Linked DNA regions of Macaca mulatta. The protein of the gene in region 1 binds, or shares a complex with, the protein of each later gene. Links are inferred from orthologs where the notes say so. Each region holds a gene or a part of one and is shown on either strand. Other genes may lie near its edges.

Region 1 (3,908 bases):
AAGAGCATCCCCTTCCTCCTTTCCCTGGCCACTGCTGCTGCAGCCAACATCCTCTCTGGGCCTGGGACCCTCTCCACAGACAGGATGTGGTCCCTGGCCATGACATAACCTGGCAGCAGTAGGAAAAACTCCCTTCTGTGAAGGGGAAGCAGACTGGGCCATAAGGAAACAGCAGGACTGGCTCAAGTGCCCAGGGTTTGTTTAGGGCCTGGGAATTGGCCATGTGTTAATTTATTGAGAGGAGTGGAGTAGGTGGCTTTTTTTCCCCCTCCTTCTCTCTTCCCCCAACAAGAATAAAGTTTATTAAATTATCTGGTTTTGGTGAAGCAGGAGTCAATTCCGTGCACAGTGTGGTCAAGCGCCACAGACATGAGCTCGTCACTGCATGTGAAGGCGGGAGGGAAAGAAGTTCCAGGGAATTTGCAGGCGCTCATATGGCACAAAGAACCAGAGGCTGACTGCATTAATGCTGTTAGTTTAATGTGGGCAGAGACATCCCGCGGCGTGACTGTTAGTGAGGATGAGTCAGCTTGGGGGAGTTTGTGCTTCCTGCTTGGTGTGGCCAGCCACATGCCAAGGTCCCCTGCCTTCTAGCCCAGAATGACAGGGGACTGGGCAGAACACCCCCAACTTTTAGCTGCCACTTGGCTCATCACAGCAGTACCAGTGCTGGGGTAGGAGGGGTAGGGCTGTGGAGTGAAGAAGGCTTGTAGGGCAGAGACTAAGAGGTCCTGTGAGATTCTTAGAGGAGCCATCCTGCTCCAAGGGGCCTGAGCTGAGTGTAGTCTGTGAGCATCTGCTGCTCTTGCTGCGCCTCTCGGAGAGGAAGAGCTCAACTCTTTGCCAGTCTGTCTAGCCCCAAGGAGCCTGGTTTTCTCAGTAGCAGTGTAGCTCCTGGGGACTTCACAGGCATAAAGTCAGTCCACTTCCATTAAGAGAAGAATATTAGGAAAGGAGATGTGGAACATCTACCAGTTGGCATAGCAAACACGAGGCCAACACCATGAGAACGGTAGGGGAGAGGGGGTGAGGGCTCAGCCCCCAGCCCCTGACTGGCAGTGATGGCCCACGCTCAGGGAGTGGGATCCTCAGACCTCCCCTGGATCCCTCACCTTCCCAAGTTTCAGCGCTGGGCCAAGCTGTTGAGTGAAATGACCGAAGGCAGAGTTTGTGTGTTCTCCCCACGTCACCCCGTCCGTGGAGAAGTTGAAGCTTGCAGGAGGGGAGAGTGGTGCTCCCTGTCGTCGGCTCCTCAGCAGAACTGATAGTTGTTGGGCTGCAGCAAGGGCTGGGCGATATCCCCTTGCTCGCAGCAGGCCAGGTGCTCACTAGAGCTCTCCTCCTCCGGCTCACTGCTGCTGCTGCTGCTGCCGCTACCGCTACCACCGCTTCTGCTGCTGCTTGGCAGATTGGTATAGTCCTGAGGGTGGGAGAGACCAGAGACTGTCAGTCCAGATCCATCAGGCCCAGCCCAACCTGCTTTACCGGCCACCCACCCCAAGCCTCACCCCACTCACCCGCTCTCTCCTGTCCTCTTGGGCTTGCTCCTGAAGGAGGGAGCAGATCTGCTGGAAAGTGGGTCTGTGGGTGGGCTCCAAGGCCCAGCAGGCCTGCATGATGCTGTATCTGGAGATAGGACAGAGGATGCCCATGTGCAGCTCTCTAGGGTCCGGGGTCGTTAACACACACCCCTAGGGAGACCTACCCAGCAGAGGTCCCCAAACCCAGTCAAAAGTAATTTTAGTATAAAACCTGTGCCAGGTCCTTGGCATGCTTTACCATTTAATCCTCACAGTAACCCTTGCAGAAGGGTACTCTCATCACCCTCATTTTGACAGATGAGGCCCTTTTGGTATCCTCAGGGTCACTGTAATAACAGTCTCTTAAAAGTCCGAGTTTAGGGACAGGTACAGTGGCTCATGCCTATAATCCCAACACTTTGGGAGGTTGATGCAGGAGGATTACATGAGGCTAGGAGTTCAAGACCAGCCTGGACAACATAATGAGATCCCATCTCTACTAAAAATTTTTTTTAAATAGCTGGGCTTAGTGGTGCACACCTGTAGCCCCAGCTGCTTGGGAGGCTGAGGCCAAAGGATTGCTTGAGCCCTGAAGATTGAAGCTGCAGTGAGCTATGATCGTACACACCACTGCACTCCAGCCTAGGCTACGAGCAAGATGTCTCAAAAAAAAAAAAAAAAAAAAAAAAGAAAAAGAAAAGTGGTCATTTCGGACCAGCCCTAACAGACAGCTGCTTCTCTGAGAACATCGCTCATACCTTGAACTCAGAAGGGGCTTGTGCCCACTGTGGGAGAGAGAAAGCCTGACCCTGGAACATTTTGGACAGGGAAAGATCAGGGCCACACGGCCTTCCATCCCGTTCCAGTGAAAGCCTGGGGTGTCCTTTTCCCTCCCTGGGATCCCTTCGCTTACATATTCTTTGGGGCAAATGCAGGCTGGGCCATTTGGTATCCATCCTTCACCAGTTTATAGAACTTGCTGTTCACCAGGATGCCAGGGTAGGGATTCAGCCCTGCAAAGGCCGAGATCAGGTAAGAGGCCATGCCTGTTGTCCTCTCCCCGTTCCCGCACACCCACACACATCTTAGACTGGGTTTGAGGGGTCCTACTTGACAACACTGCAACAGCAGCTGCTCTTATCCACTGTGTGGCAGGCTTAGGCTTTAGGAACGTGTGAGCCTCCAGCCAGGCCTTATCACGCCAAACAAGAATTCTTGCACAGGCTTTGGGATCAGTAAAACCAAAGCTTCAGTTGTGTATCGTTAAAGTGGGGACAGTCGGGTGGTTATGAGGGTGCTGGAGCAGGGTATTTAAGAACTGGGGACAAGTCCTTGTGCCTAGTCCTCAGGAAATGGGAGTTCTTTCTACTAGAGCCTAGTAGTAGAGAGCTGCATCTTCAAGGGTCTGTAGATTTCAGGCAAAGGAGGGAAACAGTGACAAAGGAGGGTAACAGGTAGCAGCAACTGAGCAGAGACAAATGAGGGAAGAGCCAGAAAGGAGCGCCTGTCAGGGGCAGGGGGTCTGCCCCGCCCTGCAGAAACCGCAATGCTGGGTTTAAACGGAGACCCTTGCCCATTCCTGCACTCTCACAATCCTTGTTGTGTCCTGGGCACCAAACATCTTTGTCCACCAGTGGGGCAACCAGAGGAGCCAGCCCTAGGCTCTGCCTGGAGTGGGCCCAGTGGCTCACCAAGTGAGAAGATCTCCCAGAGGAGGATGCCATAGGACCAGACGTCGCTCTGAACCGTGTAGACACAGTCAAAGATGCTCTCTGGGGCCATCCACTTCACAGGCAGGCGGGCCTGGGATAACAGTCCCCAGTTATTTTGGGCCCTGACTCTTCACCCCCTCCTCAGCCTGGCCCAAGCCCTCCCAGCACTTACATTGCCCTTGACGATGTAGTTGGAGTCATTCATGATGTCCCTAGCCAGCCCGAAGTCCCCAATCTTGGCCACATGCCCATTGGTCAACAGCACATTTCGCGCTGCCACATCCCGGTGGATGCACTGAGGGAAAGCACTGCAGGGTTAGTCTTGGGCCGTCTCCTACCTTAACCTGAGGTGAGGAGGATGGCAGGGAGGGCCCCAGATGGCTTTGGGGTCCCTGTTGGAATAGACATCAGTTTTGGTCCTTTACCATAAACCCTTGTCTATACCTTCTACCAGGGCCCAGGATCTAAGAACGTGTAGCATGGTCTGATCATTTAATGCTTAGAAACCGCCATTACCCTGAGCAGCCATGGCCCTTCTCGCGCTTTGTCCTCTGAGTGGTCCGCTCAGGCCCCAGAAGCAGAGGGCTTCTGTGCAGAGCAGTAGTCTCCAAACCCTACCATTATTTCTGATCATAGCAGCTGCTGTCTGCCAGGCCCTTCCCTAAACTCTGCACAC
Region 2 (3,808 bases), on another chromosome or scaffold:
GTGCCTCTGATTAATCAGTTGGGCTCCTTTTGAAACACATACCCAGGGCTCCAAGAGGTCTCTGGCAAGGGATGAGTTCCAGTGAAACTGAGTTTGATCCCACAGTCTTTCCAGTGGCAGAGCCAGATCTGCATTGAACCAGGTGGGAGGAAGTGCTGGGCCCAGGGGAGGTGTCTCTGGCTTGCCATCTGAAAGCCGGTGCATGAACGTGAACTTGAGGGCAGTTCAAAAAGTGCTTGGCTCAGTGTTGATGTTACAGAGACAGAAAAAATGGGTAGATGCAAGTCCTGCCCTCGAGTTTCCTGTGTCATTAAAATTTAGACTGGTAGGCACACCATCTGTGTCACTATTAGTTCAATGTGTAGTTAGGTTTGGCTTAATCTGGGAAGGCTTCTTGTAGGTGACATTTGGGTTGTTTTCATGGTAGAACAAGGTTGTGCTGTGGCTGCTAGAAATCCTGGGAAAGCTGGATTTGAGGGATGCTGTATCCTGAGGTAAGGGGCAGAGCCTGTAGCATTGTAGGTTTGAGGCCTTTGTTTTTCTGCTGTGAGCAGGGCATGGGGATAACTGGGGAGAGTGAGGGCTGGGGAGAAATGACACCCTCTCTGTCACAGACATGGCTGGGCTCCCTGCTGTTGTTGGTCTGTCTCCTGGCGAGCAGGAGTATCACCGAGGAGGTGTCGGAGTACTGTAGCCACATGATTGGGAGTGGACACCTGCAGTCTCTGCAGCGGCTGGTGAGTGCGTGGCCATGCTGTATTCTACCTTCTCTCCACTGGGGAAATGGAGGCAGGAGCCAGGGAGCAGGTCAAAGAGAGCAGTTGCAGGCAGGAAAATAGGGCAGTGCAGGACATTGCTTGTGGTTCCCACTAGCTCCACCAGTGATGTCCTTCACTAGCCTTCCCAAAGTTAGGACCTCTGGTCTCCCCAGCTCTGAAGCCCTCTCTGACTCCCCTGCAGGCAGTGGATGGGGTGGGCTTCCAGCTGCTTGCCTGGGTTAGTGATTGCCCAGGAATATCAACCACTAATTCTGAAAAGGCTTCTGAGGTCTGCTGTCCCTCAGTGGGATGCCTCCTCTGGGAAGCTAGCCCAGGCAGCCTGCTGTGTCCAGATGTTGCGTCTAGCTCCTGGACTCTCATGTGTGGCGCCAGTCTGGCATCAGAGCCCCACCCAGATTTGGAGGGGAAGTGCTCACTTAACTCCCAGCCTTCCACCCTCACTTCCCTGGCTCTTGCCCATACCCTGAGGCTGGGATGGCCTGCTCGTCTAGGCCATGAAGGAGCCCGTATCTCATTCTAATCAGGCCCATACGTGGTCCACCCAGGCAGAATCAGGTTGCTGTCATGGCTGCCGTCCTGCTCACTGGGAATTTACCATCCCTCTGGCCAGCTAGGCAGGGTGGGGCCTCACTGGCTAAGGCCAGCTCCAGGGCCCTGAGCTTGGGGCCTGTGGGCTATGCCTTCCACCTCTCTTGCCCTAGCGCTACTTCTCCTGCATGTAGTTGCTGTAGCAATCCAAGGTAGACCAAGAGCCCCAGCATTCTCTGAGGCTTAAAACCCAGAACTGCTGCTCTGGGGCTAAAGAGGGCTTTAAGGGCATCCAGCTCCAACGCCTACAGATGTTCAGTCCCCAGAGCTTGTCCAGCCTCTGCTTGAATTCCTGCCATGACAGGGTGCTCACTACCTCCCAGGGAAGATTATATCCTATATTCTCCTATAGACATTTCTTTCTTAAAACAAATGGGCATTTGTCAGATTTCCTGGGGTGGCAGATGGAAGGAAAAGACTTGTTCTTCTACAGCCTTCCCCTGGGCATATGGAAGGCACTGATCTTCTCCTAGACTTGACTGTCTTTCCACATGTGGTTGGCAGGGATGAAGTTCAAACCCCAATGTATTCAGAAGTTAAGGTCCCCGTTCTGAAGAAGGCTGAGTTGAGCTGTAGGTTGCCCTGCAATCATTGGCCTGCTCTCTCTTACAGATTGACAGTCAGATGGAGACCTCGTGCCAAATTACCTTTGAGTTTGTAGACCAGGAACAGTTGGTGAGTGATAGCTGTTTACAAAATCCATGTACCAGTCTGCATGCAACTCCCAGGGTGGGGTGTGTGTGGGAACATGAAGGCAGCAGAATGCCTACAGCTGGAAAGGTTGAGAGTGTGAGGATCCACGGGTGCTCAACTCTGGGGTGCCAGTATCCAGGGCTCAAGTCCCCTGCCATTCCCTTCTCCTGGCTTGATACATAACAAACGCTCACTAGGTACCAAGCACTTTGCTAATTTAGTTCTGACAGTACCACTATGTGGTACACAAATACTGTTTATTATCCACAGAGAGGTGAAAGGAGCATAGCTAGTAGGTGGTAGAGGCCTGATTTGAATCCAGGAAGGTTGGTTGTAGGGCTTGAGGCAAATCAATACTTCTTCCAGGTCACATGCTTCGCTTAAGGATGTCACTTCTTTTCACTAGGCCAACCAGCAGGCAGGGAGGCAGTCCAGCCCTTCCTGGACTTGCCCCACACCCAGCAAGCCACCAAGTGCTGCTGGTTCTGCCTCTCAGCATCTCTGGGTTCTGTCTCCTCCATCCCTACCTTCACCCCTCAATCAGTTGCTTGGACAATTTCAGGAGCCTCCTAACTGGTCTCCCTGCTTTTAGTTCACTCTTCATCTTACCACTAGGGGGAATTTTCTGAAACGCCAACCTGCTGCCTTTACCTCACTCTCCCAAAACCATCAGGGGCCCCATCACTCCAGAAGAAAGCCAAGGTTGTCTAGCCTGGGTTACACCAGGTCTAGCCATTCTCCACCACATAAACCTGTACACCGCCTCTCCATTCCCTGCTCCTTCCTGCCTCCCATCTTTGCACAAGCTCTTCCCAATGACTGTCATGCCTTTCCACCTGCTCCCCCAGTCACTATTCCACATCTGTTCATCTTTATGCCTCATGCAAAACTGCCATGGTATCCAGAAGTTGCCCCTGTCTCTGAGCTTCCACACACCAGACCCATATGCACCTCTGTTAGTACTGGAGACCACCTCATGGTCCAAAGAATAGCCTCAGTATTTTATAGCCTCACTCACTCGCTTGCTCTAGCATTCATGCCTGAACTAGCATTTGCTAGGAACCTACTGGACTAGATGCTGGGGGTAGGGAGCTAAAGCAGAGTGGGTCTTCAAGGCAACTACCATCTCTTTAGGGAGACAAAACACAGAGGTTATCCTTTGTACCATGAGATAGTCTTCACCCCCCCTATATCCTGGAGGATTTGAAGGGGCCATATGGTAAAAGATTTTTGTGAAAGGAAGCCAAGAGGAAGACAGAAAGAAAGGCAGGGGGAGGTTCCCTGGAGCCCACCTTCCCTATGTACATCCATCCTGATTAAAACCTCATATTCCAGAAACCCAGAGAACTCTCTAATCAGAATCCACATTTCCTTCACTCTAACCCAGTCTCCAATAGTGCTAGATCCCAAAGAGAGAGAAAGACAGGCAAGCTGAGGGCAGCTTTCTCCTCGTTGCTGGCATGGTGTGGTCCCTCCCCTGGGGGAAGGGGGAGAGCAAGCTGCAACCCTCCATCTGCCTGGGGTTGGGGGTTCCCAGGCCACAATGGCCAGGCTATAAGCCTCAGGTTCCTGTTTTTTCAGAAAGATCCGGTGTGCTACCTTAAGAAGGCATTTCTCCTGGTACAAGACATAATGGAGGACACCATGCGCTTCAGAGACAACACCCCCAATGCCATCGCCATTGTGCAGCTGCAGGAACTCTCTTTGAGGCTGAAGAGCTGCTTCACCAAGGATTATGAAGAGCATGA

The links.
Region 2: the proteins of CSF1R (region 1) and CSF1 are in contact, whole or in part, in a crystal structure (PDB 3EJJ), measured with the Mus musculus proteins. The link is inferred for Macaca mulatta from reciprocal best matches to the Homo sapiens genes CSF1R and CSF1. Residues at the interface, in NP_001032948.2 of Mus musculus: Arg142, Arg146, Leu149, Arg150, Lys151, Lys168, Val169, Leu170, Ser172, Asn173, Val231, Gly232, Phe233, Leu248, Ser250, Asp251, Phe252, Asp254, Asn255, Tyr257, Lys259; in NP_001107002.1 of Mus musculus: His38, His41, Met42, Gly44, Asn45, Gly46, His47, Phe87, Gln90, Asp91, Asp94, Arg98, Asp101, Glu110, Arg111, Gln113, Glu114, Leu115, Asn117.

The regions. Positions count from the first base shown.
Region 1 is NC_133411.1:159,021,438-159,025,345, forward strand, and holds the end of CSF1R (macrophage colony-stimulating factor 1 receptor), read right to left. Parts: intron 3,528-3,908; coding exon 3,405-3,527; intron 3,324-3,404; coding exon 3,212-3,323; intron 2,534-3,211; coding exon 2,434-2,533; intron 1,627-2,433; coding exon 1,518-1,626; intron 1,421-1,517; coding exon 1,253-1,420; 3' UTR 460-1,252; downstream 1-459. UniProt on the Homo sapiens protein: Tyrosine-protein kinase that acts as a cell-surface receptor for CSF1 and IL34 and plays an essential role in the regulation of survival, proliferation and differentiation of hematopoietic precursor cells, especially mononuclear phagocytes, such as macrophages and monocytes.
Region 2 is NC_133406.1:130,283,932-130,287,739, reverse strand, and holds part of CSF1 (macrophage colony-stimulating factor 1), read left to right. Parts: intron 1-614; coding exon 615-737; intron 738-1,979; coding exon 1,980-2,042; intron 2,043-3,641; coding exon 3,642-3,808. UniProt on the Homo sapiens protein: Cytokine that plays an essential role in the regulation of survival, proliferation and differentiation of hematopoietic precursor cells, especially mononuclear phagocytes, such as macrophages and monocytes.